Drosophila melanogaster: one gene and its partners. The protein of the gene in region 1 interacts with the protein of each later gene in a pairwise test. Each region holds a gene or a part of one and is shown in the gene's direction. Other genes may lie near its edges. The genes, in order: fd59A, CG15631, Baldspot and CycB3.

The links.
Region 2: the proteins of fd59A (region 1) and CG15631 interact in a two-hybrid assay, tested with the Drosophila melanogaster proteins (one large-scale study listed by BioGRID).
Region 3: the proteins of fd59A (region 1) and Baldspot interact in a two-hybrid assay, tested with the Drosophila melanogaster proteins (one large-scale study listed by BioGRID).
Region 4: the proteins of fd59A (region 1) and CycB3 interact in a two-hybrid assay, tested with the Drosophila melanogaster proteins (one large-scale study listed by BioGRID).

Annotation. Positions count from the first base shown.
Region 1 is NT_033778.4:22,864,845-22,872,603, forward strand, and holds fd59A (forkhead domain 59A), read left to right. Parts: upstream 1-3,314; 5' UTR 3,315-3,657; coding exon 3,658-4,010; intron 4,011-4,330; coding exon 4,331-5,348; 3' UTR 5,349-5,862; downstream 5,863-7,759. Other genes in the region: CG13532 (uncharacterized protein), read left to right, coding at 6,952-7,015, 7,098-7,291, 7,386-7,548. UniProt on the Drosophila melanogaster protein: Involved in development during embryogenesis.
Region 2 is NT_033779.5:4,730,167-4,737,312, reverse strand, and holds CG15631 (uncharacterized protein), read left to right. Parts: upstream 1-2,854; 5' UTR 2,855-2,886; coding exon 2,887-3,007; intron 3,008-3,058; coding exon 3,059-4,806; 3' UTR 4,807-4,900; downstream 4,901-7,146. Other genes in the region: fipi (factor of interpulse interval), read left to right, coding at 102-254, 973-1,464, 1,546-1,766.
Region 3 is NT_037436.4:16,657,047-16,664,704, reverse strand, and holds the start of Baldspot (baldspot), read left to right. Parts: upstream 1-3,089; 5' UTR 3,090-3,234; exon of another isoform or gene 3,235-3,294; intron 3,295-5,238; 5' UTR 5,239-5,293; coding exon 5,294-5,475; intron 5,476-7,658. Other genes in the region: Galphaf (G protein alpha subunit f), read left to right, coding at 966-1,063, 1,157-1,856. UniProt on the Drosophila melanogaster protein: Catalyzes the first and rate-limiting reaction of the four reactions that constitute the long-chain fatty acids elongation cycle. This process allows the addition of 2 carbons to the chain of long- and very long-chain fatty acids (VLCFAs) per cycle.
Region 4 is NT_033777.3:24,864,386-24,872,788, reverse strand, and holds CycB3 (cyclin B3), read left to right. Parts: upstream 1-1,972; 5' UTR 1,973-2,260; coding exon 2,261-3,988; 3' UTR 3,989-4,855; downstream 4,856-8,403. Other genes in the region: CG3744 (uncharacterized protein), read left to right, coding at 1-135, 378-570, 636-837; Elal (Elastin-like), read right to left, coding at 6,263-6,777, 6,945-7,419; Srg1 (Sting-regulated gene 1), read left to right, coding at 8,083-8,403. UniProt on the Drosophila melanogaster protein: Cyclins are positive regulatory subunits of the cyclin-dependent kinases (CDKs), and thereby play an essential role in the control of the cell cycle, notably via their destruction during cell division.

The DNA of each region.
Region 1 (7,759 bases):
GCAGGTGCCACCGACCCTCAGATGCCGTCCACCGATGCAGGATGCGACAGGATGCGCCATCTCAAGCGCAAATTAGAGGGGATCCCCTTCGTAAGATGTACACTTGTCGAAGGACATAACCACTTTCTTAAATTAGTAGTTGTTGGAAATGTCGTACAGGTGCTGAAATATTTCGATATATACAGATAATGATAATATTAATAAACAAAATAATAATTAAATAATAATTAGATGCTGCCATAGCCATTTTGATTTACTTGAATATCAAATGAAGATATCTTATGACCTCTTTTTGTTCCCAGTGCATAATGAAGGCGGACCATCGTCGGTGGCTAGCAACTGTGTCCTTTGTTTGAGCCAAAAGTGGCGATTGTCCTTGCCGAATCCTTGCAGTCAAAGCAATTCAAGTGTCAAATCTTTTATTTGCCTTTTGCAGATTTCGCAATAAAGATTTGTATTGTCAAAGTCTGGGTTCAGCCAAGCCAGAGACCAATCCCGAATCGGTATCCGCAGTCCTTACCCCTCCTGCCCACTGAGCGCTCCGTTTCATCCGCTTGGCATATCCTTTGCCGGCTTGCTTGTGTGCAATAAATTTGCTGACAAAAGAGGGATTATTGCTGGATCATGCCGCTGTTGCTGCAGCGCGGGATGAGGACGCAGGATATTCATGTAGATATATATAGCCCGGAGATGGAGCTGGCGGTGAGGCTGAGCAGGATGTGCTCCTGGTGGCTGGTTCCTGTCAGCGTGCATTCCTCGGCGTTATTGTTTGGCCATAAGTTAATTGTTCCCCTGCGAAAGCTTTAATGCACCGCATCCTTACGCTCAACTGGCCGCCCGAGTCCTTCGTCCTTCATCCGGACTCCTGCCGTGCTAAGGCGGCGATTAACCGTAGTCTGACAGGGAACATGGATACGGCTGTGACCACGGATTGGCCCAGGATAGTGGCTGTTGGAATCGTTTAATTGCCATGGAAACTATTGAGCAGGCGGATAAGTAATGAAAAGTGGATTGAAAGGGCAAATATTTTCGATATACTAGATGCAACTCGCGGGGGATAAAGTGGGCTAATGTTTTTGAGGATGACTGGTAGCTATAGATAGATTATCCTCTATGCATGGTGAGCTATATTGTTGTTAACCATTCTACCGATACAGTTACACATATATTAATGCTGACTCTAGTCGGAATTAATTACCAATTGTTGTCATTACAGTGTACACATGCAATTAATACTCAATAGTTTGAAACACATATTCCTTTTCGATTTCCAGCATTTTCCAGTAATTGGGTACGTTTTTGCTTGATTTACCTGTTTATAAAGTTCCGAAATAGTTTAAGCGTTAGCTTCGAAAAACTTGATTACATTCTGTGTCCAACCAATTTCATTTGGCTGCCATGAAATGTTCTGTTTGCTCATAAAAAGACAAGGATAAGCCTCAATAAATTTTCCGCCTCGAAATTGGGGAGCAGGCAGAGCAGAAACGACCCCATGTAAGTATTGTATATACACCCTTCTATTTATGCCCCCTGATAATACCAACACTACTAAGCGGGATAAAGATACATACCGATGGCCGATGCCACGCCCCTAAAAATCTGGCCAAAAAATCATTGATTTGTAAGTGTAACAATGGGTAAAAGGTGGGCGGGCGTGGGGGAATTGGCAAATGGGAATTTTGGGGGTGGCAAAGCTAAAATAGAATAATGAAAACGATGCCAAGAGTGAAAGAAGCGACATCAATATGGTTCTGAATTCGAAGATGGCGGCCCTTATTGTATTCGTGTCTGTTTCCATGCATCTGTGTGTGTGAGTGAGTGTTTGGTTGTGTGTGGGTAACTTCCGCAAAACTGGAAAACTAATTTGAACAAAGTACAACAAATAAAAGTGACTACTGAATGTTTAATTTGAAAAGGGAAGGCTCCAAACACTGAATGGCGAACAACAACAATGGCTACAACAACAATGTCTAACAACTGGAGAACAAAAACAGCGAAAATGAAAAAGAGAAATAGTACAAAACTCACTTGGATACAAGTACAAATGCAGCAAACACATGTACGTCCAACCCCCTCCCGTCCCACCCACTCTACTGCTCTCTCTCTCTCACTCTAGTAGCCCCCATTGTGCTCGGAGGATGTTGGTGAAAATGGTGCATTTGATTCCATCTCACTTCCACACCCAAATAAAATATACAGAAAAAAAACCAATATTATCTATATTAGATGTATTGTATATTGTATGTATTGTTTTAAAATTATATTTTATTTCGGTTTTTTCGCATTGCTAAAATGACATAACTGTTCTATGCATTTTTTTTTTTTTTAAATGTATTTAATAATAATACATTGTATTATATACATATTTCAGTTAATCGTTCTTAGAATAACCAACAAAATATATCCTATGAAAATAAATACAATTCTACTTATCTAACTGCAAAGAAAAGTCCCTATAACTTCGTTACTTAACTTAAGTAAGATTTGTGGAATTTGGACTTTACATAATTAAACACATAATTAGATTCTTTTCTTTTTTTTCTTTCTGTGCATAGGGACAGAGGGCTGGGAATGAGATTGCGAGCCCGAGAGAAACCAAGAAACGTCGACATACGGTTAGAAAAACATTCGCACATAAAAATGCCAACATTTGAAGCATAACATTTGGGGCAGAGGAGCAGAGTGGTGGTTGGCAGGGCGAGTGCGAGGACGAGGGAGGGCCGCAGGGGAAAAGGACGCCTGCCTCCATGTGGCTGACATAATGAAACATTATTAAGAGCCACGACGTCAAAGCGGCAAAAGGTATCTAAATTTGCGCAAAATGTTTATCCCCCCCACCGCCGCGTTCGTTGGCTTCTGCAGTCGCTGCCAATTTGCCGCCGCTTGGAGAGAGGAAAACACAAATATCGCATTTACAGCCAGGGCTCTCCACCATTTTGTGAGGACTTGCAGCGAGTGGGAGAGGGATGGCACGAGCTAGTTCGCATAGATTGGTTCGCAGGATATCAACCCATCCCCCGCTAGAAAGAGAGGCTTGGCCGGGCTCTCTTGCTCTCTCTCCCTCTGCTGCGATGCTGTCGGGGCGCAGCCAGGATGCTGCCAGGATGCCGTCAGGATGCTCTGCCCGCGCCAACGGCGACGTCGGCAGTAGAATCACAGTTATTCGAGATACGAAAACACAGCAACGGCGACACAAAAGCTCAGGGAAACGTCAGCGGCAGCGGCAATGGCAGCGGTTTTTCATAAATAAATGTTTGAGTTATGTAGAAAAACATTTTGGGCGAGAAGATTTTCGTTTTCGTTGCGATTCAGTTAACATTTGGCCAGCGGATTCCGCCTTCAACGGACGCGACGACGGACTAGGCGCTAGCCAACTTTCCACTTTCCACACCACTGCTGGCCATATGTACAGTTTATCCTAGCAGCTAAACCGGAAACGACGGTAACAGCGAACGGTTAACGGAAGCGGAAATAGAAAAGAAAATATCAAATTCCAAGTTGAATCGAAAAGCATATGCAAATGCCAAGTGAAGCAAGTGAAACGCCAAAACGAACACAGTTCCTGAGCAAAATAGTTAAATAACAGTGTTGCGTCCTCTAAATTTAGTGAGTCCAATTCGCGGACTCAAATAGACTACAGTGTATACCCGCTAAGACATGCACACCAGCACGGATCCCATGCACACATTGCACGACAGCGTCTCCCTCTCGCCGCCGCTCATCAAAAGCTCCAGAGGCGGCTCCTCCATCGGCAACGGAATCGGATGCAGTGCGTCCTCGCGCACTGCCGCCGCAGATGCCATGTCCATGGGCTGCGACGACAGCGACATCGAGCCGTCGTCCATGGGCGGAAGTGGTGCCGCCGGCGGCAACGGAGACGGCTCGGGATCTTCGGGTGGTCCCCTGGTAAAGCCACCATACTCCTACATAGCTCTAATCACCATGGCCATTCTTCAGTCACCGCACAAGAAGCTCACGCTCAGCGGGATCTGCGATTTCATCATGTCGCGGTGAGTTTGCCAGCAAAGTTAATATCCTTAAATGAAGAAGCAATAGTTTGATTTTTTCCAAGTTATCTTAAAACATCAGAAAAAGAGAATAAAAGTAGTAGTTTGTAAAGACGATAAAAATAAATAAATCCTATAAAATTTCAATTGAAAACATAGAAAAGAAGAGACATTCAGTGCTTTAATCGATTTCAAAAATTATAAATTTTAAAATGTGATATTTTATTTACTGATTGCAATGTAAGTGATCTAGATAAACAACCAAATTCTTTAAAAAAAATTCCTCGAAAAAATGTTAAATAACTTGTGCATTTTACTTGTAGCTTTCCATACTACAAGGACAAATTCCCCGCCTGGCAGAACTCCATCCGGCACAATCTCAGCCTGAACGACTGCTTCATAAAGGTGCCCCGCGAGCCGGGAAATCCCGGAAAGGGCAACTTCTGGACGCTGGACCCGCTGGCGGAGGACATGTTCGACAACGGCAGTTTCCTGCGCCGGCGGAAGCGCTACAAACGGGCGCCCACCATGCAACGCTTCTCGTTTCCGGCGGTCTTTGGCACGCTGTCTCCATTTTGGATACGCAAGCCCGTGCCCCTCGTGCCAGTGCATTTCAACGTGCCCAACTTCAATGGGAGCAGGGAGTTCGACGTGGTCCACAATCCGGCGGATGTCTTTGACTCAGCGCTGCGAGCGGACAAGAAGTTTAACTTCTTTGCGAATGCCGAAGCATCCTTCTACCAGGGAAGTCAGTCGGGGGACAAGTTCGACCGGCTGCCCTTCATGAATCGCGGTCGAGGAGCGGATGTCCTGGATGCACTACCGCACAGCAGTGGCTCCGGCGGAGGAGTGGGCGGGGGATCCGAGAGCAGCCGTGGCTCCAAGTACAAAAGCCCATACGCCTTCGATGTGGCGACTGTGGCCAGTGCTGCGGGCATTCCCGGCCACAGGGATTACGCAGAACGACTGTCCGCCGGCGGTGGTTACATGGATCTCAATGTGTACAATGACGATGCGGACACAGAGGCCGATGCGGAAGCCGAGGGAGATGACGACTCATGCGAGGACAAGATCGACGTGGAGAGCGGCAATGAGCAGGAGGACTCACATATCTCGGACTCGGTGGACAGCGCCTGTACAAATCGCCTGGATGCGCCGCCGGAAGCGTTGATCTTTGAGGCTTCTGCCGAGGCGTCCGATTCAAGTCCAAGGAGACGCTTCGATAGCGAGCCCCTGGTTCTGCGGACCAGCAAACAGAGCAGCGCCAAGGACTTTCGCATCGAGACGCTGATTGGCCACCACCTGCATCGCGGTGGCAGCCAGGAGGAGACCAGCGACTAGGCGGGATTCCCACTCGCTTGAACCAATTGGCTTGTGTACAGTCCATTGAACGGTGATTTCAGTTTCGATCTAAGCACGTTTTAACAGCCCACTAACACCACCACCAGCAATCCCCAGGAATCCAATCCGAGCAGCAAGTAGTGATCAGTAGGTGTATCCGTAGGATGTAGGAGCCAGCACACGAGTTTTTAAATGCGACCAAATCGAAGTCAACGCTATAGTTGCCAGTCCACTTACGTACTAAACATATATCTGCGCGTAATATCTATGTAAATCTGAAGCATCGCACGTCTATAGTATACTTTTAACACGAATTCTTGGGGTCTGGAGTCGGGATTTCAGGTTCTAGACCTATATCTACCATGCAAGTACTAATCATGTGTATGTGTGTGCGTGTGCGTCTGCGTGTAACTGTAACACATCCAAGCAAGAGGAACACTATTAACTATAAATTAGACTAAGATTTTTGCTGATGTTATTGAAAATTGAATAAACAACAACATAATAATAGTTTACACGGATACATGTTTGACTGGTAGGTACCGATATACGTGTTGTTACTACAGCTACTACAGCATGTTACTAATATGTTTGTAGTATACTAAATATTAATTTTTAATCCTATTGATACCTGTAATATTGTATTATTTTTATAATTATATTATTATATGTGGCCACTCTCTTCCTTGTAATAATATCCTTAAAGGGATCCCTCTTTTCGACGTTTTGTTACCTTTTGTTTGCAATAAAACACCCCGAGTTATTTGAATTTACCGCCCAGCAAACCTGTCCAGGTGTGGCACCCCTGCCTGGAAATCAGTTCAGCTTTAGCGCCTGCGCAGTGACCATCGCTCAGCTGATTTGGCGCAGGACGTAGTTGTGCCGCCATAGAACGCCGTGGAGTTCGGCGCTACCAAACGAAAGCTCCGCTCTCCCACGAGCGTCCCGTTGGCTTCCAGTGTTAAAACATGAAAAGCTGCGCCTGGCAGCGGGACAACAGTGTGCCGCCGAAGATACCAACACCAACTATTGGTATCCGCCAGCAGAACTCACGCGCTACGCCGAGAGTACGAACTCCACTTTTGGCACAGTTCGCCCCCGCGGACTCCATTCCGCACGCACACACTATCGCAGCCGTAGATGTTCGTGTATGTGGGCTGCAAAAAGTCGATTTTTCGCTAACAAAAAGTATCCTGTCCTGTGTGGGCAAAACTTTAAATGGCCCGGGCCATAAAAGGAGATTGCCATAGTTGCGACTTGCAGTGGGAGATGTCCTGCGAGGAGCTGCTGCGTCCGAGGTGCTGAGCTCGTTGGGCCGAGAAAAGTTTGTGCCAGTCAGTGCCCGTATCCCCAGAAAAAAGCATCCCCCTGCCATTCTGCTTCTGTGATGAGATTGGTGATAATGAGTGCAACCAAAGGCCCCCATGTATCCACATAAAAGCGCAAGCCGAAAACAGACAGCACCGCGATAAGTAGAAACGTCCAACCACCACAGAAGTATTCATTGCCACGCACAACGACGGCGCGTCCTCGCGGAACGGGAGGATCACGAGCGACAGGATCTGGAGTGCCCAGCGACGCTGAGGCAAACTAGTCGGCTGTCATGGCGGGCTGGCGAGGACGAGGCCTACGCGCCACGCTGCTGGCCGTGCTCGCGTTACTCTCGGGTGAGCAGTTCTCGCATACATCCTTTTTGGGTTCCTCCAAACTAATCCTGTACTCCTCCTACTCCGCCCCCATGCCGCATAGTCACTCACTCGGTGCGCATCACCAACCTGCGGGTGCCACGCACCTACACGCTGTTCCGAGACCACGAACCCGATCCTCTGGTGCTCGACTGCGAGGTGGAGATCGGGCCGCGGGAGCAAGGATTCGTCCTCAAATGGCTGTTCAATAACCACTCCATCTACCAGTGGATACCATCGGTCAAGGGGTTCGCCATGGTGAGTCACTCGGGGTCTTTGGTCGCACCGAATTAATTAAGATTAATCGAACTCTGTCTTTGTCTTCGATTTGTTCTTGTTCTTGCGCCTGTAGGGCTTCATGAAGTCGAAGATAGACACCAAAATATTCACTATGGAGGGCAGTCCCGGTGTTATATCGATAAAGAATCCCGACTGGAACATGACGGGGGAGTACACCTGTGCAGTGCAGACCTTCGAGTCCACGGATAAGCGGAGTGCCCGCCTGCAAATAATCGGTGGGTGTCACGACCACGGCCAAAAGAAAAAGGATCGGCGGTGAAAGATGTGCGGTGGCGATGGGAATGGGAATGGGTAGCAGGTGGTGGTGGGGGTCGAAAGGTCTAAGGTGGTGGTTCTGCCTCTGGTTCTGCCGGGTAACCTGCACCCGCCCCCATCTTGACTTGGCCCCCGCCACCAGGGTGTTTGCATAGGTGTTCTCGTGTCGGT
Region 2 (7,146 bases), on another chromosome or scaffold:
AATCTGCTCCACCACCATCACCATCAGCCAACTGGCAAATGCCGAACCCGACTGCCACTACATATCTGCCCTTTTCCACCTTCTCCATTCCGCGTGTGCAGCGGCCGACGACTCCAAGTTCCGCATCCTGGCCGATGGTTTGCTCATCAACAAGGTAACACAGAATGACACCGGCGAGTACGCGTGCCGGGCATACCAAGTCAACTCGATTGCTTCCGATATGCAGGAGCGCACCGTTTTGATGAAAATCGAACGTGAGTATGATTTACGATTTCCAAAACGTAGAAAACTGATCCACAGTGGGAACCTACTTTGAAATTTGGGTTGCCAAGTCGTGATTATTTAAAAAAAAGCCCTTCCATTTTACTAGTGTGTACAATTTCCTTGAATAATACATTGTAAATTATATCAAACTTAAAGTTGAGCATAACATTTTTGATCCTACCAAGTCCCAGTGTGCAAAGTGGTGGGGTAAACAGTCGAAATTACTTGAGCACCGTTTTGTTCCAAATTTCGAGTTGGCGCTTAGTATGCAGCGCAGTGAGCGGTAAATAGTTTTTGAGCACGAAAAATTCTGGAATTACACTCGCGGCATGCCTTTGATGCTTTTGATGGATCCCAATGTCGACCGGTGTTCCTGATGTGTGGCCAGTGGGCGTACGAGTGCCAGTGCGAGTGGGCGTGGCGCACATGCAGCTAATGGCTTAACTTGGCCGGGTCCTGATTTATGGTTAGCGCACATGGTTTTTCCATTTCCATGGCCTACCTTTAAGCGCTGCCGCGGTTTCAGCTGTCTCCTGCGGCGCTATGCATGCTCATTTCGATTTTAGGCACTTTTAATTGCCTTAAAATGGGAGATAGAACAGAAATCTTCATCAATTTTTTTTTGCTTAAATATTTCGAAACAGTCCCTATTCCTTTTTAAATACTTTAGTTTTTTTTATATCATCCTTGATATTTTCCCCTGTGCAGACAAGCCCATTTGGTCCAAGACTCCATTTGTTAGTCTAAAGTACGCCTACATAAACGGAACTGCGACTCTTATGTGCGAGGCACTGGCGGAACCTCCAGCGAATTTTACATGGTATCGCAAACACAACAAGCTGCACAGCAACAACAGACTGTACACGATCCAGTCGGACAGCTACTGGTCGAGTCTGACCATCCATGTGCTGAACACCAGCGCCTTCGATAACTACAGGTGTCGCGCCAGGAACGATCTGGGCACCATCGAGAGGACCACGCGACTGGAGCAGGGCGAGAAGCCTCCGTCACCGGCCAACTTCCAGCTGCGTGGCTTCAATTCAAACACCTTCGATGTGGTACTGAGTGCTCCACGAGGTCCTCCCGACAGTCCCATGGGGGTCAATGGATTCCGCATCGAGTACATGACCGAAATGGAGTTCAAGACGGATGCGGGCAAGTGGACCAATGCCAGGCGGAAGGATTATGCTTTCGAGGAGGGTGAGTTAAGCTTTAAAATATAGATAAAAGCTATCTCTTGCTACATTCGATATGTAAACTCATGGATTCTATAAATTTTAGGGGCTACCTTCCTTCTGACGAACTTAGAGCCAGATACCGTTTACCTGGTGCGGGCCGCATCACGGAATCTGGCCGGATTCAGTGACTTCACCAAGGTGGAGAAGTACAAGACACTTTCGCTGGAGCCCCGAGTCTCTTCGGGAGTCAAGGAGACCAGAAATATGTGCGTGGAACTGGGTGTGATGACACTAATGGTCCTGATGCGGCCGTTCCTGGGATGAATCTGAATCTGCAGGCGGATGAAGGATGACAGGTGATGCACCTAGCGGAACCGGAAACCAGGACCTTAAACCCCATGTGCTTTGTATAGCTATAAGGCGTGTCCACACGGCGACACTTTTCTGTCTGATTTGCTCGGTCTAAGTAATTTGGTTTACTCTTAAGTTCAGTGCGTTAATGTAACCTTAAAGAATGTTAAGTTTAGTAAGAATTTCTATTACGCTTTCAGTGCTTCGATTTGAATGATATTAGTGGATCACTTATAGGATATTTATATGTATTTAAACAAATCCTCATAGCAGTTAGACATAATCAATGGTTTGCTGGCCTTGGCTCCCCAAAATTATGCAAAACTAAAGCTTTGCTCAACATTCCAGTATATATTTTAACGTGAATTGGAAGTTTTCCCTGCAACTTTGCATCTCGTTGCCAAATCTTTAAGATATAATCAGACAGTTGCCAAAACTAAAAAAGTACATTAGTTTAGTATATACAAACAAATGCCTTCCGTCATTCGATATAACTAACAATCTTTTCAACTAAACTACATAAATATATAAAGTTTTGGAATACCATTAAACGCATCAAACAATTAATATAAATATCAAGGAGCTTAACGACAGCATTTAAAAGTTTTATATGTCACATAATTCTTTTTAATAGTCAAAGGCCAATAAAAACAATTCCACGTGTAAATTTCCAGGGCTAAAAAATACAGAATAAAATATAGATGTAAAAATAAGTTTAAACACTTTGCCACAATACAAATATTATGCAAACGAGAGAAAAACAAACACATATTTTACAAAAGTTATTTATATTCAATAAAATTAAATGTATTTCAGCTAAAGTGGTGTAAAATCTAAACCATAATACCTAGCCAAAGATTTAATATTTTCCAACTTTCGTTTGCCAATTGTGTGTGAGCCATAATAAAAGTTATGAATATCAAACCAGAACCGTTTGTGCTTCGATTTATTGATGTATAAATCAGTAAGTAAATAGAATATAAATATTTTAGTAAAAAAAATGCCTATTAGTTGGCGTAGCTTTTAGTGTTAATTTCTAATATTCGGCTCAAAAATTATATACAAAAAGTACAAAGCATAAAAATGTTGCAAGATGGAAAAACGAGCTCATTATTTTAGTCAGAACTCGAACCAGCCGCTAAATGCAGACTTTAATTTAGAAGATCAAATTATGAGGAATTCACAAAAAATATATAGGTTTAGCTCAGATCCGGGTGAGTAAAGCTTGCTAATAATGAATACATAAAATTAAAATTTTTATTTAGAATACAATAGAGTATATCAGCGGTATATGGCAACCCTCATCCGTGTGCAAAATTCCATGCATAGAAGATTTCAATCCAGGACCACTCTAAAATTGCAGGGCTCACATAGCCGCCTCTCAGCTGGCGGATTCTGTACGAAATTCAATAAATCCGGAAAGGAGAAAAAAAATAAACACAACCAAAGCCACGACCAGCAAAATGATACCTGTAAGCCTTCTTGCTCGAAGCCAACTGATTGCGCCACAAATGATGAACCTTCCTGCCGGGGCAATAAAAGTGCATCCGATAAAAGCCTGAAAATCACCCGCTGTTCCATACCGGAACCCAATAAGTCCCCACGCAGCGATGGACACGAGAACCAGCGTCAGAGCTGTGTGTCCTTTGAAGAGCCCGCGGCCAAGGATATTCCCACATTTGATCTGCACTTCCGGGACACCTCATGTACGGTGTCCCATGATTCCAGCCTGTCCTCCATCAACGTTTGCTATAGCCAAGAGCAACAGAGGGATATTACAAAATCTTGTCCCGCTCAAACGCCGAAAGAGCCAGCCCCTCAACGGATGAAGGAGTCGTCCAGGAATCAAACAGCTTCACGATTTTGCATGAGACCGTTGATTGTGGTGCCCACAGGTGGAGGAATTAAACAATTAAAGAAGGATCAATCTGAGAATTCCAAAATAGTTAGCACAGATCACTCCAAGTCGAAGTCTGCACACCACACGAATAGTTCTCGAAAATCCACAAAGAAGCAAGCAAAGAGTCACCGCCTTATTAAGTCTCACAGCTCTAAAGATTCTTTAGCAAATCGTGGTCAGCCTACAGTGGAAATTGAAGAAACTTTTCCAAATTCAATCTGCACTTCCGATACCCACGAATCCTGTGACTGCAAGAGCGAAGACCAATTTTGCTGTTACTATATACCAGAGGAGCCCCATTGCTCGCAGAATCCACCGCCATGTTCCAACTGCCCGGCTATATGCGACTTATCCAACCAATTGGAGGAGATGAATCGACGTTTGGAGGGCCTTCACAGCCAGGAACTCTGCGATATCCGCACGCAGGTGAATAGCCTCAATGCCAATGTTCAGCATTTGGCCAAAGAGTGCATTCAGAAAATGGATGGCGCCAAAAGGCTGGACAAGAAGACCTCGAGCACCTGTCAGTTCTGTCATGGGCAGTGTTTGAAAATACTTGATAGCTTCTATAGGCAACTGCTGGACTCACTTTGGGATCGTTCCCTGACAGACATAGTAATATCCATATTTCTGCGAGCAGACAATGTCTATCACGTAAATGTGCGGGATCTGAGCTCGGACTGTTCCCTTGGTTGTTACCTGGTCACTGATGCGGCCATAGAGGAGGCCATCGAGTTGGGAGTTTTTCAGAACATACTCACATTTAGTGTAATTGATGTGCGGAATACCATCAAGTCGAAGAACTGCGACTTGGGCATCGTCTTTGAATACCATCATTCAAAGCGGCAGACCGGTGGTTGCGATTCTCCACTTCGTGGCTCCTGCATGGTGGGCAAGGAATATATCGGCAGGGTTCTCGGACTTCCTTTGGAGCAGCTGAAATACCTGTACTCCGTTCCGCGATCCTATACCAAAATCACTGAGCACGACACTAGGAGTGTAACTGGAAGTCAGTTACACTCAGTTTCCACTCAAACGACTTTGATGGATATGCAGACAGAAATGAAGATAAGATATAAGAAAAGTGCCCGTACAAAACTACCATCAGTTTGAAAGATATCAGTTTTAATAATATATAGCAAAAGTTATAGTTAAGCCAACTTACAACGTATTTCTAAAATTTTGTAATAAAAGACCTTATAATTTTAAAAGCCAGCATAGATCAAAGGAAATTCTGATTAGTTTCAATAAAGCTAACCGTACAGGTTGCACTGCCATTTGCACAACCGACGGACCGCATGGCAAATGGTTCATTTGTTCAACGGGCGCGGTTTGTCAATCAGCCACATCAACTGGGGCTCAACTAAGGACCCGCATATGCGCTTTTGGCCGGAATGCCTTTTTGGGGGGGCTTTTTGGGGCAAGGAATAGGAGCACTGCGTTGACAGCCGCATAAATCAGTTGAATGCCAAACGTCGGATTCGGATGCAGATGCGGATGCTGTTGCGTATGCGGATATGCATTGCGACTGGGCGCCATATTGTGCGTGGTGACTTTTATTGCCCGACCGCGCGTTAAATATTTTTCTGTCTACACACATGGACATGGATGCTCCGCTCATCATTGACATTTACCATTGGCCATCGTCATTCGCATCACAATGAGCAGCAATGAGCGTGGCCGTTATTTGGGTGCGGTTCAAAACAATCAGCCCGGCTATTTAATTTCCAAATGAGAGGAGCATTATTCGGCACAGCATGAGTTCAAATCACTTGCCCCATGTGCCCGCCAGCTTTCAATATCAACACTTTAAGTCAACGATTTGAGCGACGACAGCTGAATCAGCAGCGAAGAGAAGAGGACAAATAAATACTGCGAAAAAAAATGCAGAATTCGGCCATTTTAGGCCTGCAACCGCCAATCCGCCAATTCACCAATCCACCGGCAAGTGGGTCAGTTTCGCACGGGCTTTTAGAGCAAATCAACGCGAAATCCGCTCCAGGTCATATGCCACCCGACTCGATGGGGGGGGGGCGAGACCATTCGTGCAATGCAATTTCCATGTCAGCGAAGAGTTTTACCCCTTTTTTTTTCGCCCACATATCTGTTTCCTTTCATTCGGCTTATCGAAAGTTTAGCATTCGGCATTTTTCACTGCAGGCATGAGAGTCAGGCTTTCAATTAAAATCCAAAGCTGTATTTTTACGGGAGCAGATTTAAAATGTTGTGGCTATTGGCCAAACGTTATTTGTCTGTTTATTCACATCACATGTCTTAAGCTGACAATATAAATCCCTTTTCTTACCAAGTAATCAGCATTAACTAAGGAACACACAGCCGTTGGCGATACGAAGTCTTAACAACATTTACCTAGCCATAAATACACACTTAACACGTTTTGTAGACGAGCTGACTTGCATCATTAGGAATTCCATCAGTGCTTCATTATTATCCCCCTTTCCTTTGCCACCAACACAATGTTCCACATTTTCTCCACTTGGTTTTCCTGCGATTTTCCGCTCGTTTGAAGCTGCTTGGCCACGGGGCGGATGCGGATGTCGGTGCGGATATGGGTGCGGATGTGAATGCTTTTGCAACGACCGCACGCCGTGTCAATAAATGAGCGCAAAGCATTAAATTGTAATTTTTTAATTACACACAAAAGATTTAATGACTGCGGTGGTAATAACACACAACAGACGTTGCCACGCCCCCCGGCTGCCCTTGTTACAGCCCTTAATTACATAAAGCCCAGCTAAGAAGACGACTATCCACAGACGGAGATAATAGGAAAATGGCGAAAATTAAATTGTTCTTCTGTGCTCGCCAAGTGGCCAATTAAAGCGAACGGCAAAGAGCAAAATGTCCGGATTTCTTTGCCTCGCCAAGCTGAAGCAACTGGACCTCCAGGGGGTTATGTCCTTTTTCGCACAGATCCTTTTTGCTCCGAGATTTGCGCCCGAGTAGCTGTCTCAGCCTCCACCCCCGCGCCGTTTGCTTAGCAATAAAAATCATTTCCCGCGTTCTAATGATGCCACTGAACAACCAAGGCGGCCAACTAAATTAGCGCCGTCGGCCTTTCAACAGTCGAGAGATACATATATAAATATATACGAGTATATCTGGACATACAGCGCTTCGCTTCGGTTGGAGTCGTAAATAAAAGTTGGTCCACAAACCAACCAACTAATATGCCAGAGTTTGGCGGGGCCACAAATCTTGTGCAAAGTAAATGCATCGGTACTGTTGCCCCCCCTTTTTACACCCCTTTGCCCATTTTCTGCTGGTTTCACTTGCTGTTGCTGAATGTTTTCGTGTGTTTGCTGTTTGTTGCCAACACACTAATTACCGCAATTAATTATGCTGCCTGCGGAGCCAAGTCCGTCCAGCAAAAAGGACCAGCAAAACAGGACCAGCAGCCGGATCAGGATTTGGACCAGGAAAAAAAGGGGA
Region 3 (7,658 bases), on another chromosome or scaffold:
CTATCTGTATCTTATCCCTCGCTGCACTTCAAAGTCTGTTGTCGTGGTGTCGCAGTTTGAAATACATGCTCGTTGTGGCTGTCGAAAATCCGAGCAAACGACTTTGAAGTCAATCGCCGGACTTGCGTCAAATCTCCAACGGCTTTCGATCGAATTCGTGTTATCAGTAGCGGCGATTTGATTGATAGCGTGTCCATTGGGCGGCGTGGAATGTCTAAAAACTTTCCAAAACAAGTGTTTTGTAAATCGGACTTCCTGGCCCGGGCCTTATTGTATTATTTTGCTCTTTCCTTTTTTTTATTTCAAGTTTGCCGCAGCTGCAACGCTGCCTCTGAATGTGATTCATGTGGCGCAATCTGCTTTATCTTTCCGAAATTTATCTATGTACCTCTAACCAGTGGTCATTATATGGCTTACGATTAGATTACCAAGGCTGTTCAGGTCTCCAAGTGGGCGGGGCCTTTCCCAGATCTAGATGCCAGTCATTCATGGTTTTATGTTTTGCCAGTGAGTAATGCCAAGCATAAACAAAAGAAGTACCGAAGTTCGGATTCCCCTTGCTTTATGACTGACTGTTTGAATAGGTGACTCGAATACGTTCAGAGTTTTAAGTTAACTGAGGAAATAAATAATCATATCAGACCAAAATAGAGTATGTTTTTTGGAGGTTCTTATATTTTATTTTTAAGTTTAAAGTTGACTTTGTGCTGTTACTTTGATGTTGATGTTGATCATTCGTATGACAGTTGCAAAGTGACACAATCTTGGCGTTTATGATCCTTATCATATATTCAGCAAATAGAATTTTTTTAGACGGTTAGCTAGACAATTTTACTACCGGATTAGCTTTTCGTACTTGTCTGTCCAAGCGGCTTTTGCAATCTTCCGGTGAAGAGTTGATGTTATTTTCCATCACTGACTTGAAAACAATACTTAATTTTGGGTTACTTTTTTTGTATTTTTAGGAGTACTGCGACCACGTCACTACTTTGTGGAACGATGTGGGTATTCGCGCCTGCTATGATCGCTCAAATGAGTTTCCCCTGCTGGATAGTGCGAAATAGTAAGTATCTAATTGGATTGATTCAAAATCAGATTTCTTTCCCATTTATTCAAAAAAAAACCTTACTAAAGTTTGAATTTTTTTTTACCCCAGCTTCCTGGACAACTTTGTGCGGATCAGCGATGCTGAATACATACCCAGCACCGAGGACATTCTGCACAGCCGTAAGATCACCACCGGCATCTCGCAAATCACCTTCCGCGTACCCATTCCCAAGAGCATGGGTGGTGGCGAACAGCAGTTCCAAATGTACGATGTGGGTGGCCAAAGGGATCAGCGGAATAAGTGGATTCAGGTATTCGAAGGCATACAGGCCGTATTGTTCCTGATCTCGTGCAGCGAGTTCGATCAGAATCTGCGCGAGGATCCCAGCCAGAATCGTTTGCAGGAGGCTCTGAAGTTGTTCAGAGCCGTGTGGCAGAATCGTTTCCTCGCCTCCGCCGGATTGATCGTGTTCCTCAACAAGTACGACATCATGGAGCGAAAGATTCGGGCCGGCAAGCACATTGTGGACTACTTTCCCGAATACGAGGACTTCTGCAAGAGGCCGCAGCAGGACAATTGCTTTGGCGAGAGTGACTGGACGAAGATGTTCATCAAACAGAAGCTGGTGGATATCACACAGGAGCCGTTCAAGCGACACTCACGGAATCAGGTGGATCTGGGTACCTCGGAAAGGGAGTGCTACTACCACTTCACCGTCGCCACGGATACGCGATGCATCCGTGATGTCTTCTGCGATGTCCAGAAGATGATCCTCTCGGAGAACGTGTCCAGCATGGGCCTATTCTAGTCCAGATCCCGTTGCGGATCGGAGAGCTTCTCAATAAAGTTAAGGGAGGGCTGTCCTCAGGCCCCCACCAACTGTGATCTAGTAGGATATGACTTACATAAGTAGCCATGTAAGACCGTAGATCGTAGTGGCAACCGTATGTTGCACAATGGCTGGTACAACGCTTTAATATATTTAACTGCATTGGGTGTAGAGGAAGAATCCTCATACCGAATGCTCTCACTACTCCTTCAACCAATGTCTAAACTCTAATAGAATATAGCATCTACAATAAACCAAAACACACCCAGACAATTTGAGAATGAGTTTTAAATATTTTTGCACCCAAAGTTTGGGTATTTGGGTCCCATGCAACACAAAGTGTAGCATACTTCAAAGGGCACACACGCTTTGAGCGATCTGATGTTGCCATAGGAAAGGAAAAGAAACCATAGTTGTTTTACTTTTGATCAAAATAGTTTCCCATTCGGAATACACCATTCTACTCTTTATACAAGAATATATAAGCTTCGTATTAAAACATTTTAAAATATAAAAAACATATTGAAAGGCAAAAAGTCATAGTGATCTTTTACAAAATATGCGCTTCTTATTCAAATTAAAAAAAAAGCTTATTCCACTTAAATGCCGTTTATCGATCAGAGCGTTATATTTTGTACGGTCGGTCTTAAATTTAAATGATGGAATCCACATAGTTCTTTACCATCGCTTAACTAATAGCCAAGTTACACACCAATGAGCTGTGGTCCTTACCTAATACCCATTACTCGTAAAGTGATATGGTATTTAAGTTTTGTGTCTACGTATGCAACACGAACAAAGAATCGTTACTTTCAACCAAATCAAAAAGTTAAATAAAGATCGATCATCGTTTTAACTTTTACCAGCTTACGTTCTCCCCAAACATTTTAACGATTCATGTCGGTATAACCATAAAACAAAAATATTCCTGTATAACTCGCGATACTGTTTAATAATTTGGGCATACAAATGCATCTTGCTACGCTTAACCAAAGACACTAGTGGCTTAACTGTTCCTTGCAACATAAGTAAGTTTGACTAGTACCCAATAGGAGTGGAACCAGTGTGCATAGAGCTCCACCCGCACGCAGCTAGATGTGACCGCACGCGAGCCGCAGAAAAATACCGCGATGGCAAAAGTACCAGCGCCATGATTGGTACTAAAATATCTCCTATATATAAGTATAGCGATAAAGCAGCCGAACCGCCAGCTAAACGTTCAGTTCGCTTTGCGCCGGCAAATTCGATAGTTTTTTGAGTTTGCTGAACCGAGTCGCTGGGGCAGAAGTGTGTGACAGCCAGCCGTGTGTGTTGTGATCCAGCCAATTGATACTGCGATAAGAGGCGGCGAGCAAATGTAATTACCTCATAGACATCAGCGTTCGAAAATAGTAACCGTGTTTTCTGTGATATCTGTGTGAGTGCGTGTTCTCGTTGATGTTTTGCGGTGGTTTGGTTTCCTCCTTATTTTGCGCCCCTTTTTTCTCATCCGATGCTGCGAGAGAGAACGAAAGAGAGGAGAGGCAAAAACATATTTCCCAGACATTTGCTGATTTAACCGAGAACTTTATCGATTCAGCAGGAACCAGAATACGAATGGAAAAAATTCGGCAAAGATCGCGTGTTTTTGCGTGAGAGCAAAGTTAGGGCGAGGAGGGGCAGTTTGTTTTTCGGAAACATAAAAACCGCTAGGAGCATCGAAAAAATTTCACTAGAAATTTTTGAAAGCGCTCGCGCAAAAAACCGGATATGTTACTCAAAAAGAAACAACAGAAAAAGCTTCCAAATCAAACCAAAGCGAAGCTTATGGCAAAACGAAATCACCTGTGTGTGCGAGAGTGAGTGAGAGTGCGTAAAAGTGTGAGCGCGTCGAGTGTGTGTATGATTAGTCGCGTGTCTGGCATGCAATTAGGCATTCAAACTAATTTCCCTCCCACCGGCAAGTTGCCCTGTCTCATTTGTATTTTGCTGGGTTTCGCTGTTTGCTTATGCATTCCTTCAAGTTCTTTTAATTCGCACGAGACTTTCGTGGGCAGAGAAAAAGAGGAAGAGAGAGCGCGCCAGACTGGCGCTCTCTGTAAACTACCACAATTACACTTTCCGTTACAGCCACCCCCTCACTCATGTGCTCCCAGAACACTGTGAGAAAAGTGATGTAATAACGGGGTAGCTTACAGGACTCAGAGTGTCCCTGGATTCAGCTATTAGTATTGTGATTTCAAGATATAAAAGTAGAATGTTAAAAAAAACCAAACTCGGAGACTCCAAATGTATTTAATTTGTAGTTTTAGTGTAGTTTTTCGGCTAGAGATTTTGGGGATCTTAAAATTCTCACATTTAAATTAAATATTTAAAATAAAACTCATGCACATTTAACTAAACTTAATTATTAATGTCAAGATTTTACCTCCGATTGACGAGCAATGTTTCTCTTTGTGTATCAAGTTGTTTGTGTATCCATTTAAGCTTCAGCACGAGGTGTGAAAAGTGTGAAAAGCGGAAGAATGTAGATGAAGATAACCACAAAGCGTGCGCCATTCATGAAAGCGTTGCACATCCCTTGCAGAGTGAGCAAGAGCGGGAAGGTGTTTGAAGGGGTGTGAGAGGGAAGAAAGATTGAGTAAGAGAGAGCCATGGACCAACGGTGTTTTTTTTGTTGCCTGGCAAAATCAATGAAATGGATGAATGAGAGGAGGAGTGGTGTGGGACGAAGGGGAAAGGAAGGTCGCCGAGAAATTTATGCGACAAAACGCGGGCTTTTTATGTGCCTGATTGTGTGTGTGTGTGTGTGAGAGAGCGCGTGTGAGTTTTGATAAGGGGGAGTGGTGCGGAATTTTTACTGAATTAAGCTTTAAACATCGTCGTGTAAAATCCCCATTACTTAGGAAACAGATAAGATACTGCAATCAGTAAAAAAAACTAAAAACATTCGACTCGAAGATAAATTGTAGTTTTAATAATTAAAGAATGTTCCCATAAGTTAAAAAATTATATTCAAAGTGTTTTCCTTTTTGTGTGCCTATTTTAAAAGTACGTAATGTATAAAAAAACAAAGTCATACAGAGCAAAATGAGAAAATTTAAACCGTCCTAGTTCATTGGGTACTTTCAGTATATTATTTTATTTATTCAAATAAAACAGCTGTATAGCTCGATGTATATTTAAATTAGTTTTTAATCAGCAGAAGCTAAAACCTATTGTTAATATTAAATTAATATTAATTTAATAAAATCGTTCTGGTGTACGAATAGCTATTTCTAATACGAATAGCTATATTCCTTAACAAAGTTGTACAAGATCTTTGACAAGATAGTTCTGAGTACATTAACTAATCTATCTCTACTTTCTTGTCAATCCACAGCTGCATATAACCCAAGTAACATAGCCACCAACTCAAACACATAAAGCCCACCAAAATGATCAACATGGACATTAGCGTTACGCCCAATTACTCGTACATCTTCGACTTCGAGAACGATTTCATACACCAGCGGACGCGCAAATGGATGCTAGAGAACTGGACATGGGTGTTCTACTACTGCGGCATCTACATGCTGGTCATCTTCGGTGGTCAGCACTTTATGCAAAATCGGCCTAGGTGAGTCTGCCACACTGAACTGAACTATGTGAACTAAAGCAGTTTTGCGATTAAAAAACATGTGTTCTTTGGTGGCTTAGATAGACAATTCAGTGAAATAACGGTTGGGTTAAGAACTTGCGCCCTTTGGCCTTGGAAAATTATTAGCTGGCGGCCGGGGAGCGGCGTTAATTACACCCACAAGTGCACACGCCCCTTGCAGTCGGTAGAAACAACTTTGCTGTTTATCGAAACCAATCCCTGGAAACCCCTATATTGACTCAGTCGCGCTTTGTTTCGGTTTATTCTCCGGAAAGACTGGAGTCCAAGTGTACATTTGTTATTAGCCCAGACAGCTGTTGAGTTCCACGTGTAATTATATTAAATTACGGCTAATCAAACACTAATGTTGTAGGTGAATCCTCAACTCGGGCTCAAATAGCCAACAATTCGCATTCGCACCTGAGCACGCACTATTCAGGTGTATTTTCCGATGGCTAAAGACCTATTTGATTGGGTATTTTAACAATTTTTCCAACAGTCAGCGCTGTTTGTCCCCTCCTTGTTACCTGATTTACCTGTGGTGGATCCAATTGGCGGCTATTCGTGCTGGCAATTGTCTCGTTTCGATTCGCTTCGTTTTTGCCTATGATACTGTGTTTGCCTTCCTGCTTCTAATTGTCGTCATCGGGCTTTGTGGCCAAATTAAGTTGGGCTCGTGACATGCCATTTAGACAGTATTTTTGCAAGATCATAATTCAGTTTTGTCACCTGGTTTGGAGCTGTTTATAGCCTTGCTAAGGCCACTGTGAAATTCGGTAGAAAGTTGCTACCGTCTAACAGAAAAGTTTATTATTGTCCAACTGGGGAAAACGGGCTATATAAGTTCCTTCTGAGTATCTTTCGAAACATACGTCTTTGTATTCTAAAAAATGTTAGCTAGATAAGTCTATTTGATGTGGCTTTCCTAACCCTGAATTCCACATCATGATTCAATTGCTTGCATAATGTAATGTGGAGTAGCGATTCCTGCCCACACTCCGACCCAAAGCCATTGGGTTTTTGGATGAGTTATATAGGGGCTTGGCCCTGGGTTGCTTGGCGATTCTCTACGCGGACACTCGTCGGGGGATCTGTCGGTTAATTTTTCACTTTATTGTTGTTGGCTTTGCCTTACACTTGGCTTTTTCGGAATGTCATTTCAATATTTGCCCACATGGAGGAGAGTCGGCTAAGCAAATGGACGTATGTACTTGGTACAGAAAGGTGTGAATTTAGTGAAAATGCAGGCGTTTCTTTCGAACTGTTGGGGTTAAAAAACTGACAAGGTAAGGATGAATTGGGCAAATTAAAACGGATTGATTTCCGCTTGCTCAGCATGGCTACTTAACTTCTTGAATACTCAAACACATGCATGAATATTCAATATTTGACGTTTTCCAAACCATGCCATGTTTAAGAATCTCTAATTAGCAACCACGGTTCTGAACAGCGTGTCAAAATTAATCGCAAACTTTGAAAGAATGCAAATGCACCTGACCGCATGCCACCGACTGTACATTTACATATTTAGAGAGTGGACTTCCCGCTTGCATTCCACCTCATCTTTCATGAATTTAATTTTTGAATTTCTGTTTTGTTTCACTCGTTTCGGACAGTGCGCCATTAAAGTCATTAAACTGATTAGGTTTATAGGTACACGCCATGTCGTACTCGTTTCATTTCAAATGCCCAACGGACAAAGTTTTCCACGGCGACCATGTGGCACGTATGTATGTACATATGTGCTTGTGTGTCATGCAAGAAGTGGGTGTGTCCACGCAGACGGGGTTGTGGGTAGTAGTCCTGGACGGAACTCCAACAGGACACTTTGACATGTAGCCGCTCTATAGGTCCACTTCAATTGGACACTGGTACACTGGACCACCTGATTGCGTTTACAATATTTACCAGCACTTTAAAGTGATTTTTGCTTTTTTTTATAGTTAAAAAGTAAACAAGAGGTCGAAGCCTTTGGAGAATTTTAATATTTCAGTTTTTAGTATCCATAACGTATTGCGTATTACAGTTGACATCTCCTTAAATGGTTAAAGATTAAATATGCCTAATAAAATTAGCTTATAAGCACTCTACAAAGAATCTATAAAATATAAGTTGCAAAGCCTTAATGGTCCATAAAGTAAGATATTCAAATGATGTAATAT
Region 4 (8,403 bases), on another chromosome or scaffold:
AGCGATTCGAAAGTCACATCCGTGGTCGGATGGGTCAGGTGGAGCTGACGGATCAGGTGGATGCGCTGCGGAGCTTGTCTGACCAGTTGGGCTACATTGACATGGATCGCGTGGCCATTCACGGGTGGTCATACGGTAAGTTATCTCGAGATAGGTGATTGACATTGTTATAGTGGGGTATTTCCCACAACTCTGCATACTATTTAATCTAATCAACAAGCAAGTCATTCTGAACTTGCAAGTACACAGACAGAATGAAGATGCCTTATCGGTTTATGAACGTTAAATTAATGCACTATAATGGTTACTTTCAATTGAGGGAACTGGGTAAAGGTAAAGGCATTGCAATAATTTCCATATGGTTGTCATTTCAACAGGGGGCTATCTTAGCCTGATGGGCCTGGTTCAGTATCCGAAAATCTTTAAAGTGGCCATTGCCGGAGCGCCGGTCACCAACTGGGAGTATTACGATACGGGCTACACGGAACGATACATGGATATGCCGCAAAATAACGAGGCCGGTTACTCAGCCGGTTCGGTGCTCGAATACGTAAACTCTTTTCCCGAAGAGTGAGTTCTTAAGCTGGTTCTTAAATTGTCAAATTTTCGAAACATTCATGTTTTCTTTTGTTCAGGGACAAACGCCTGCTGCTCATACACGGCCTGATCGACGAGAACGTGCACTTCTGCCACACCTCGCGTCTGATCAGTGCTTTGAACAAGGCAAACAAGCCGTACGAGGTGCATCTGTTCCCCGAGGAGCGGCATTCGTTGCGTAATCTGGAATCGAATAAAAACTACGAAACTAAATTACTGTCATTCTTGCAAAACTTATGAGATTCGTAAATGTCAACAGCCGAAACAAGATCGCCTGCTTAGGCAGTAAAACTAGACCCGCCCCACGCCCTCGTCCCTTTGCAATAGTTTTTTACATCATTGTCTTTGTTTTTATTTGAATTTTTGTTGTTCGAACTATTGTTTTTATTCGATAAAGAAAATGAGAGAAAACGAAATTTGTATCATATTTTTAGCATACTTAATTTATAAACGTACGCAGTTGTAAGTATAATGGAAAGTTGAATGAATGAAAGTTTACCTGCCACCCAATATTAGACTTCAGATCAAGACCAAGCAGCTTATTGTAATTAATTTATACTTAATGTTCTACAACACACGTCATATACTCTTAACTATGTTTTAATTGTGTTTGATATCCGCAAATGTACATTTTTCCTATCAGTAATTATAAGTTGTGTTTTAGTGCGTATGTACGAGTATGAGTGACTGTATGCGTGTTTTCCACAGAAACGGAAAAAAAAAACCTTAAACTTGTCATGCCTTTGGGGCAGGCCATCAATTAATGTTAGTTCTACGCATGCATATATATATATATATATATATATATTATATATCTCTTCGATAAACCTGACGCAAGTCGTATGCATACTTGATTGAGTTCTTAGAAACCCGCGTTTGGCTGAAGCAACAAAAACTGAATTAAATTTAATATTAATTATGCCTATATATAATCATTAGTTTTACAACTGATACAAGCAAACGTATATATACATATATTTTGTTTAACATTTAAATAAACAGTTGTGTGTAAAAGCAGGTGTTTTACTTTTCTCTCTTGTTTGGATTGATGGGGATTTTTGGGCACTGTTCAATTAATTAAATAAATATATTTAAACAAATTCCTTTCTGTCAGCTGCTCGAGGCTACTTTGATGAGTTTCTTAGTTCCATAAATTTGCAATTGCATATTTAAGCAAACTGCCCAAATAGTTCAATTCACATGTTTTGAACTTCAGACATTTAAATTAGCCGCGCTCTGGAAGACTACCCCCAATGCCTACCTTCACCACAGAGGTGTATTCCAGTCGATTTCCGTTAGGCGACCGAACGCCGCGGTACGGTCACACTGCAGGCCGCATCTGCATCTGGCATCTGGCGGTGTTTTTTTGATTTTTTACTCAGTGCTCTCTATCCCTCCGGCCAAGCGCCATAACTCCACAAAACTCGATCCGGAATTATATTGTGAGTTTGTGTGAATGTCTAGGCTTGATCGAGTCGACAATATCGGCAGTAGCGAACGACTCAAGTTCTAGCCAACACAAAGACCACATTCTGCAAGGAATCCGCTAGCGAGGATCTTGCTGAAACCAAGTGGAAGTGGAGGAGACGAGGACTCCAGGCGCCGCGCACAAGAACACAAACAACAAACGACGAGTGCGCTCACACGCAAACACGCATTCAAAATGGCGCCCACAAAAGCAACAACGCGCGCGGCCATCACAAGCGGGCATCATCAGCTGCAGCAGGCAGTGAATCCCATCCTGGGAGCCCTGGGAGCTGCCACTAGGAAGGGACTGACTCGGAGGGCGGCTGCCACGGGAAACATCGATCCGAATGTGGAGAATATGCAGACGCGCGCCAAACGCAAGGCCGACCACAGTCCAATTAAAAATGACAAAATCAAGCGCTCGGCGCTGGGTAACCTGACCAACAATGTTAAGATCATGACACTGCATCCGGCACAGGATGAGGAGCAGTCGGGCGTGGGCAAAAAGCCAACGGCCCAGCAGCTGCAGGCCCTGATGGATGCTAAGAAACAGGAGAATCTCAGCGTAAATGTCTTTGGCGCCAGTAAGATGACTACGCGCGCCTCCAGTAAAGTGGAGGATTCGGTGGAGAACTGCCACAAAGTGCTCGATAAGCTGGAAGAGGCGTTGGCCAGGCCCAAACCGCGCCCCAAGGCAGTGCCTGCCGCAAAAAAGACCGTTTTGGGGGAGGTTCAGCTACCGGCCATGCCAAATCCTATGCAGATTCCCGTTTTACTGCCGCCCACGCACAATCTGGCTGCTCCCCAGGTTGCCGCCGTCAAGCCAGTTCGTCGGATCTCCAATGACTTCAACAAGACTGAGGACAGCCTGTACATGTCCGCGCTGGAGGATGTCTCCAGTTGCGACTCCATGCGGCTGTCTGGAAACTTTGAGGCGGCGCGACGTCGCTCCGCCAAGTTGCAGCAAAAGACTGAGCAGCAGCCACAGCCGCTGTTGCTGACACTCCCAGAGACTGCTCCAAGCCAGGTGGTGCCCATTCCGCCAGTGCCCGAGGAAGTAGAGGACTTCGACCGCAAGAACTGGGACGATCCCTTCCAGGTGTCCCACTACGCCATGGATATATTCAACTACCTCAAAGTGCGCGAAGCGGAATTCCCCATTGCCGACTATATGCCCAGGCAGATCCATCTGACCACCTGGATGCGCACCCTGTTGGTCGACTGGATGGTGGAGGTGCAGGAAACGTTCGAGCTGAACCACGAGACTCTGTACCTAGCGGTTAAGATCGTCGATCTGTATCTCTGCCGCGAGGTGATCAACAAAGAGAAGCTGCAACTTCTGGGCGCCGCTGCCTTCTTTATTGCCTGCAAGTACGATGAGCGACAGCCGCCGCTTATAGAGGATTTTTTGTATATCTGCGATGGTGCTTATAATCACGACGAGCTGGTGCGAATGGAGCGGGAGACGCTGCGCGTTATCAAGTACGATCTGGGCATCCCGCTCTCGTACCGTTTCCTGCGCCGCTATGCCCGATGCGCCAAGGTGCCTATGCCCACGCTGACCCTGGCTCGATACATCCTGGAATTGTCGCTCATGGATTACGCCAATATTTCGTTCAGTGACTCGCAGATGGCTTCGGCCGCACTGTTCATGGCACTGCGTATGCACGGCGGTCCGGGGCAGCTGGACAAGCAGACGTGGACATCGACGCTTATCTACTACACCGGCTATCAATTGGCGGACTTTGCTGAAATTGTGACCGCGCTCAATGCAGGACTGCATCGCAAGCCACGGGCCACCATCAAGACGATACGGAACAAGTACTCGCACAAAATATTCCACGAGGTGGCCAAGGTGCCGCTGCTGACGAACCAGGAGCTCTTCCAGGGCAACCTTGACCTGAACGAAAGCAATCTGTCGTAGGACAGCCTCAAAGTTTAGCCAAATTCAACATGATACGATACGCTTCACTTAGGCTCTAAGACGCTTCTATTCCCAATATTAGCCCCATCCCGACGAAACAGCGGATCCCCGCCTTAATCTAAAAACCCCTGATTTTACCCCTTACCTAGTGTTCCCGTCAAGTCCTCGCAATTTATTATATTTTAATTATTATTGTGACCTTCGCATTATTGACATGTTTTTTGCATAAATATTATGTTAAGAGTGCTTTTGTTTCTTTTTGCCATGTATTATTGTTTAATTTTCCCACATACCGCATACGTAGCCGAACACAATCAATCTAAACTCGAAAGGCGACATTATCTTTAGCACCCCCACCCAAAAAATCCCAAAACGATTCATGTTTTAATATGTACGTTAGTCTTAAGAGATGCCAGCATTAAATAAACCTAACTCGTAAGCCACCAAAGCAGACACGGATCCCCACTAACTTATTCTACACAGATACACAAACGCAAGGATACGAAGCGACTATGAAAGGCACGTGTGTCCCGTACAACCTGGAAATGCGCTGCGATCAACCCTCGTCCCGTGCACGCCATGTACGCCATGTGCATCTGTTCCTGTCGTCGTTATTAATGCTGTTATTTGTTAAGTCGTTCATGGACTCCCCTCCTTGCGCTCACATTCCCGCCCCTCGAAGGACGCTCACCATCAACTTCCCAGTTCCTGATCATACCGCCCCGCCCCGCCCTGCCTCAGTTCACCTCGTTTATCCATGGATGGTTGATAACGTTGCATTGTTGAAGTAACTAGTTATGTATGTACTCAGTGTTATGTATGTATCGTTTTGCGAGAGAATACCAATAAACATTTTTACGTCCGTTCAAAAATACTTCAATCTTTTTACCATCATTACATTCGGAAAACGGTGGGCGAAGTGAAAAAATTCTTACTTTTAATAGGGTAAGTGCAATAAATTCGTATTTTTATTTTTCTTTCTAGAAAACTCTTTTAAAAACCTGATGGAAGTTTCAAAATCGGGTGAGTATTAACTCAGATATAACTAGTTGAATGCAATTGTAGTATCATTAGTGTTTATGTTTACTTTAAATAAGTATTTTAAATTAGCTGTCTTTATCCAGCATGTTGGAAATGATCCTAGTTCCTAGGGGATTAAATAATTTAGGGCATTATTTTCAATTTCCTAGAATCTGGAATGTATGTATTTGTTGCAGTTCAATCTTTAATTGTTAGAAACAGAGCATAAACTCCTAGATGTCAAAGGTTAAGGGAAAACGTTTAGCACATCTAGACTTCTTTGCCGTGAGTATACCCATTACCCCACCCATTCTAATTCCTTTGTTTCGAATCCTCTCAGCTGAATCTGTGCTCCTTTCTCCGCGCTCATCATAGAACAGCTGATGGCTGATGACCTAAGGACATCAAACCCTGGCTGGAATCGGTTCGATTTGCTACAGGTAAAAACCACCGATACCGTCCGTCCAAATCATTCATAATCCATGAGTGTAAGTGTCTGTCTGTATACTCGTAGTCTGTATACCCCGGGCATGATTCTCTCGAGTTTCCTGCGGTTCCTTGCTTTTGGCGCGCTCGTCCGTCATTTTAGCGCCAAAAATTTGTTAAGGATTTGCGCGGCAGGCTGCGCATGCGCCGCAAGACATCAAGACGTCGTCCCTTGGTTGGGTTCCTTTCCTTTCCTTCGGCCCTCTCTTTTCCGCTGCACAGCGAAACCCAGCCGATTTATGTCGCTGCAGTTGGGTCCAGCGAAGGGCACCAGGAGTACCAATACCAGTAACAGCGTCTCTCTCTGACGCTGATTTTCTACCACCACCTTTGGCTCGCCCAGAGTCCTGCCTTTGTGCGTTCCCTTTTTTTCGGCTGCCTGCCAGCCAGGTAGCTCCTGTCGTCTTCGATTGTGTCCACGCCGGATAAAAGAAGCGGCATTGCCATAAGAATAAGGAAAAGAATAAGGATGGGATGTGAATGTCTTGGGTTAGCTGTCTGTATGGGAGCAGAATGCCGAGTGCATGTGCTTTATTTTTTCCGGTTCAAGGTGCAACTGGTAACTGGCCAGCATTGCTAATTATCTTGGTTGGGTGTGCAGAAATCAAGTTTATTTCGCAGGGACACACAGGATGATAGGCAAAGACAGCTGCCTCTGGCCAAGGAGGCAGCAGCGAAGTTATGACTACGACTCGGATTACTTCACGCCCCACCAACACCATTACCACTACCACCACCACCGAGGTCCACCCATGATGTCGGCCAGCTTCAGTAGGCCGGCGAGTTGAAGGCACCGTTGTATCCGCCCCCATATCCACTGCCATAGCCAAAGGCATTGTGATTGTTCAGCACTCCAAATGGTCCCTTGTGGACGCCATCCTCCTTGTACTCGGTGTTCATCGAGAAATGATGGTCCCAATGGCTCGGATCAGCGGGATTGTGAGCCGGATAGCGATGATAGTTCATGCCGCTGGTGGCAGGAGCCTGACCAGCTGCTCCGGGCACTCCTGCCACTCCAGGTGCTCCCGGAACTCCAGCTACTCCAGGAACTCCTGGTTGAGCCACAGCTCCGGGTAGCACTCCATAGGCGGGGAACTGGGCTGGTTGAGGGTACGCTGGGTACTGTGGCAAGTATACTCCGGGGTAGGGATAGCCAGGATAGGCACCAGTTCCCGGGAAGTAACCAGGTGCTCCTGCACCCACTGGCTGCTGGGGAGGAACTCCCACCGGATACTGAGCAGGAACTGCTCCAGCAACAGGATAGCCAGGAGGAGAAACAGCACCTAAAAAGGGGACATTTCATTAATATCATAATTTCATATATATTTCAAAATGTGGATTTGCTATTCACCAATCTTTTAAATTTTGTATAACTTTTTTGGGAGTTAAGACTTGATATTAGTTTTCTGATTTCACTAAGATAAATGAACCACCTATTAGAAGGACCTACCTGCACTTTGGTAACCACCGGATGATGAGGATCCTCCTGAAGAGCCTCCTGCAGCTGGGTACGGAACTGGAGCCTGTTGTCCAGGAAAACCCGGAGGCGGATAAGCGGGAATCTGGTGACCTCCTGTAATTGTGAGTGCCGGATTTGGTGACTGGTTGCCAGGAAAAACAACGGAGTTCGTACTGGCCACTCGTACGCCAGAGCCACCCTGCTCATGGCCATGGGCATCGTCGATGGATCCAGTTGCGCCCGCATAACCCGATCCCAGCTGACCAAGGCCAGGATAAAGTTGCGAATTGAGATTGGCCCGCTGGCGATGGCGACTGCTGGTAATGCCTCCCGTCAGAGTGGAGGCCAGGTTAAACTCCGTCTTCTGATCCTCCTGACTTTCGTCCCTGCTGAATTGCGAGGCCTGACCGCTGGCTATCTGGATGAGGGCCAGAGCGGCGAATGCGATGACCCTCCTGCTTAACATGGCGTCTTTGGGTACACTAAAGCCCAGAAGCTCACGGCGCGTGTATTTCATGGTGAGATCTGATGACACGAGAGCTTAGCTGAGTGTCTATTTTTGGGGTTATCATCAGGGGCTCAATGCCCAGATATGTAGTTTAAGTCTCATTGAGTGTTCTTTCTAGTAAATTGAATGAGAGAGTCTACACTGAAAGCAAAAGTTGAAAATATAACACAACAATGTGCATATGCATAGATACTAGCCATAAATTTGAACAAATAAATGAATTTTTTAAAGAAATACCCATATACAAATTTATAAATATAAATGTTATATATAAATTTCTTGCAATGTATAAATTTGCGGCCTAAAGCCAAGTAATAGATAAGTTGAGACGCATTTTTGGTTTAGGGATTTCCCAAGCAATTCATAACTCATCTTTGCATAGATGATGATCATGAGTTATGATCCTCCCTTTATATAGAGAACGAAAGCTTTCCCAGTCAACCTTGTTTACCAGTCAATAGATTAGTATTATAAGTACATATGTACATATAGCATTTGTTCCATTACCCAAGGTTCTTCCACTCGATTCCATTCATCTTTCTTATCGCCATGTGCTGCTGCTGGCTATAAAAGCCGCATGGACATTGGGACTATCAGCAAAATTGCTCTACATATCCCAAGATGCAGTTGTTGGCTGCGATTCTAGTGCTAATCCTGGCCAGCTTGGCCCACGGTAGACCCACTTTCGATAAGATTGCGGAGCTTCTGTTCGGCGACCCAAATCATTATCCGCCAGCAAGGCCAGTTGATCCACAGCTACATCCTGGACCAGGTCCACTCATCCAGGAGGGCTACGAGCAGGGCTACGACTATCACTATGGTGGAGGCTACGGCTACGGTGGTAGCCACCAGCAGACGCATCCAGGTGGCTATGCCTATTACCCACCACGACCGGTTCCGGCAGCAAATGACTACTATCCACCACCTTGGTCAGTGCGTCCT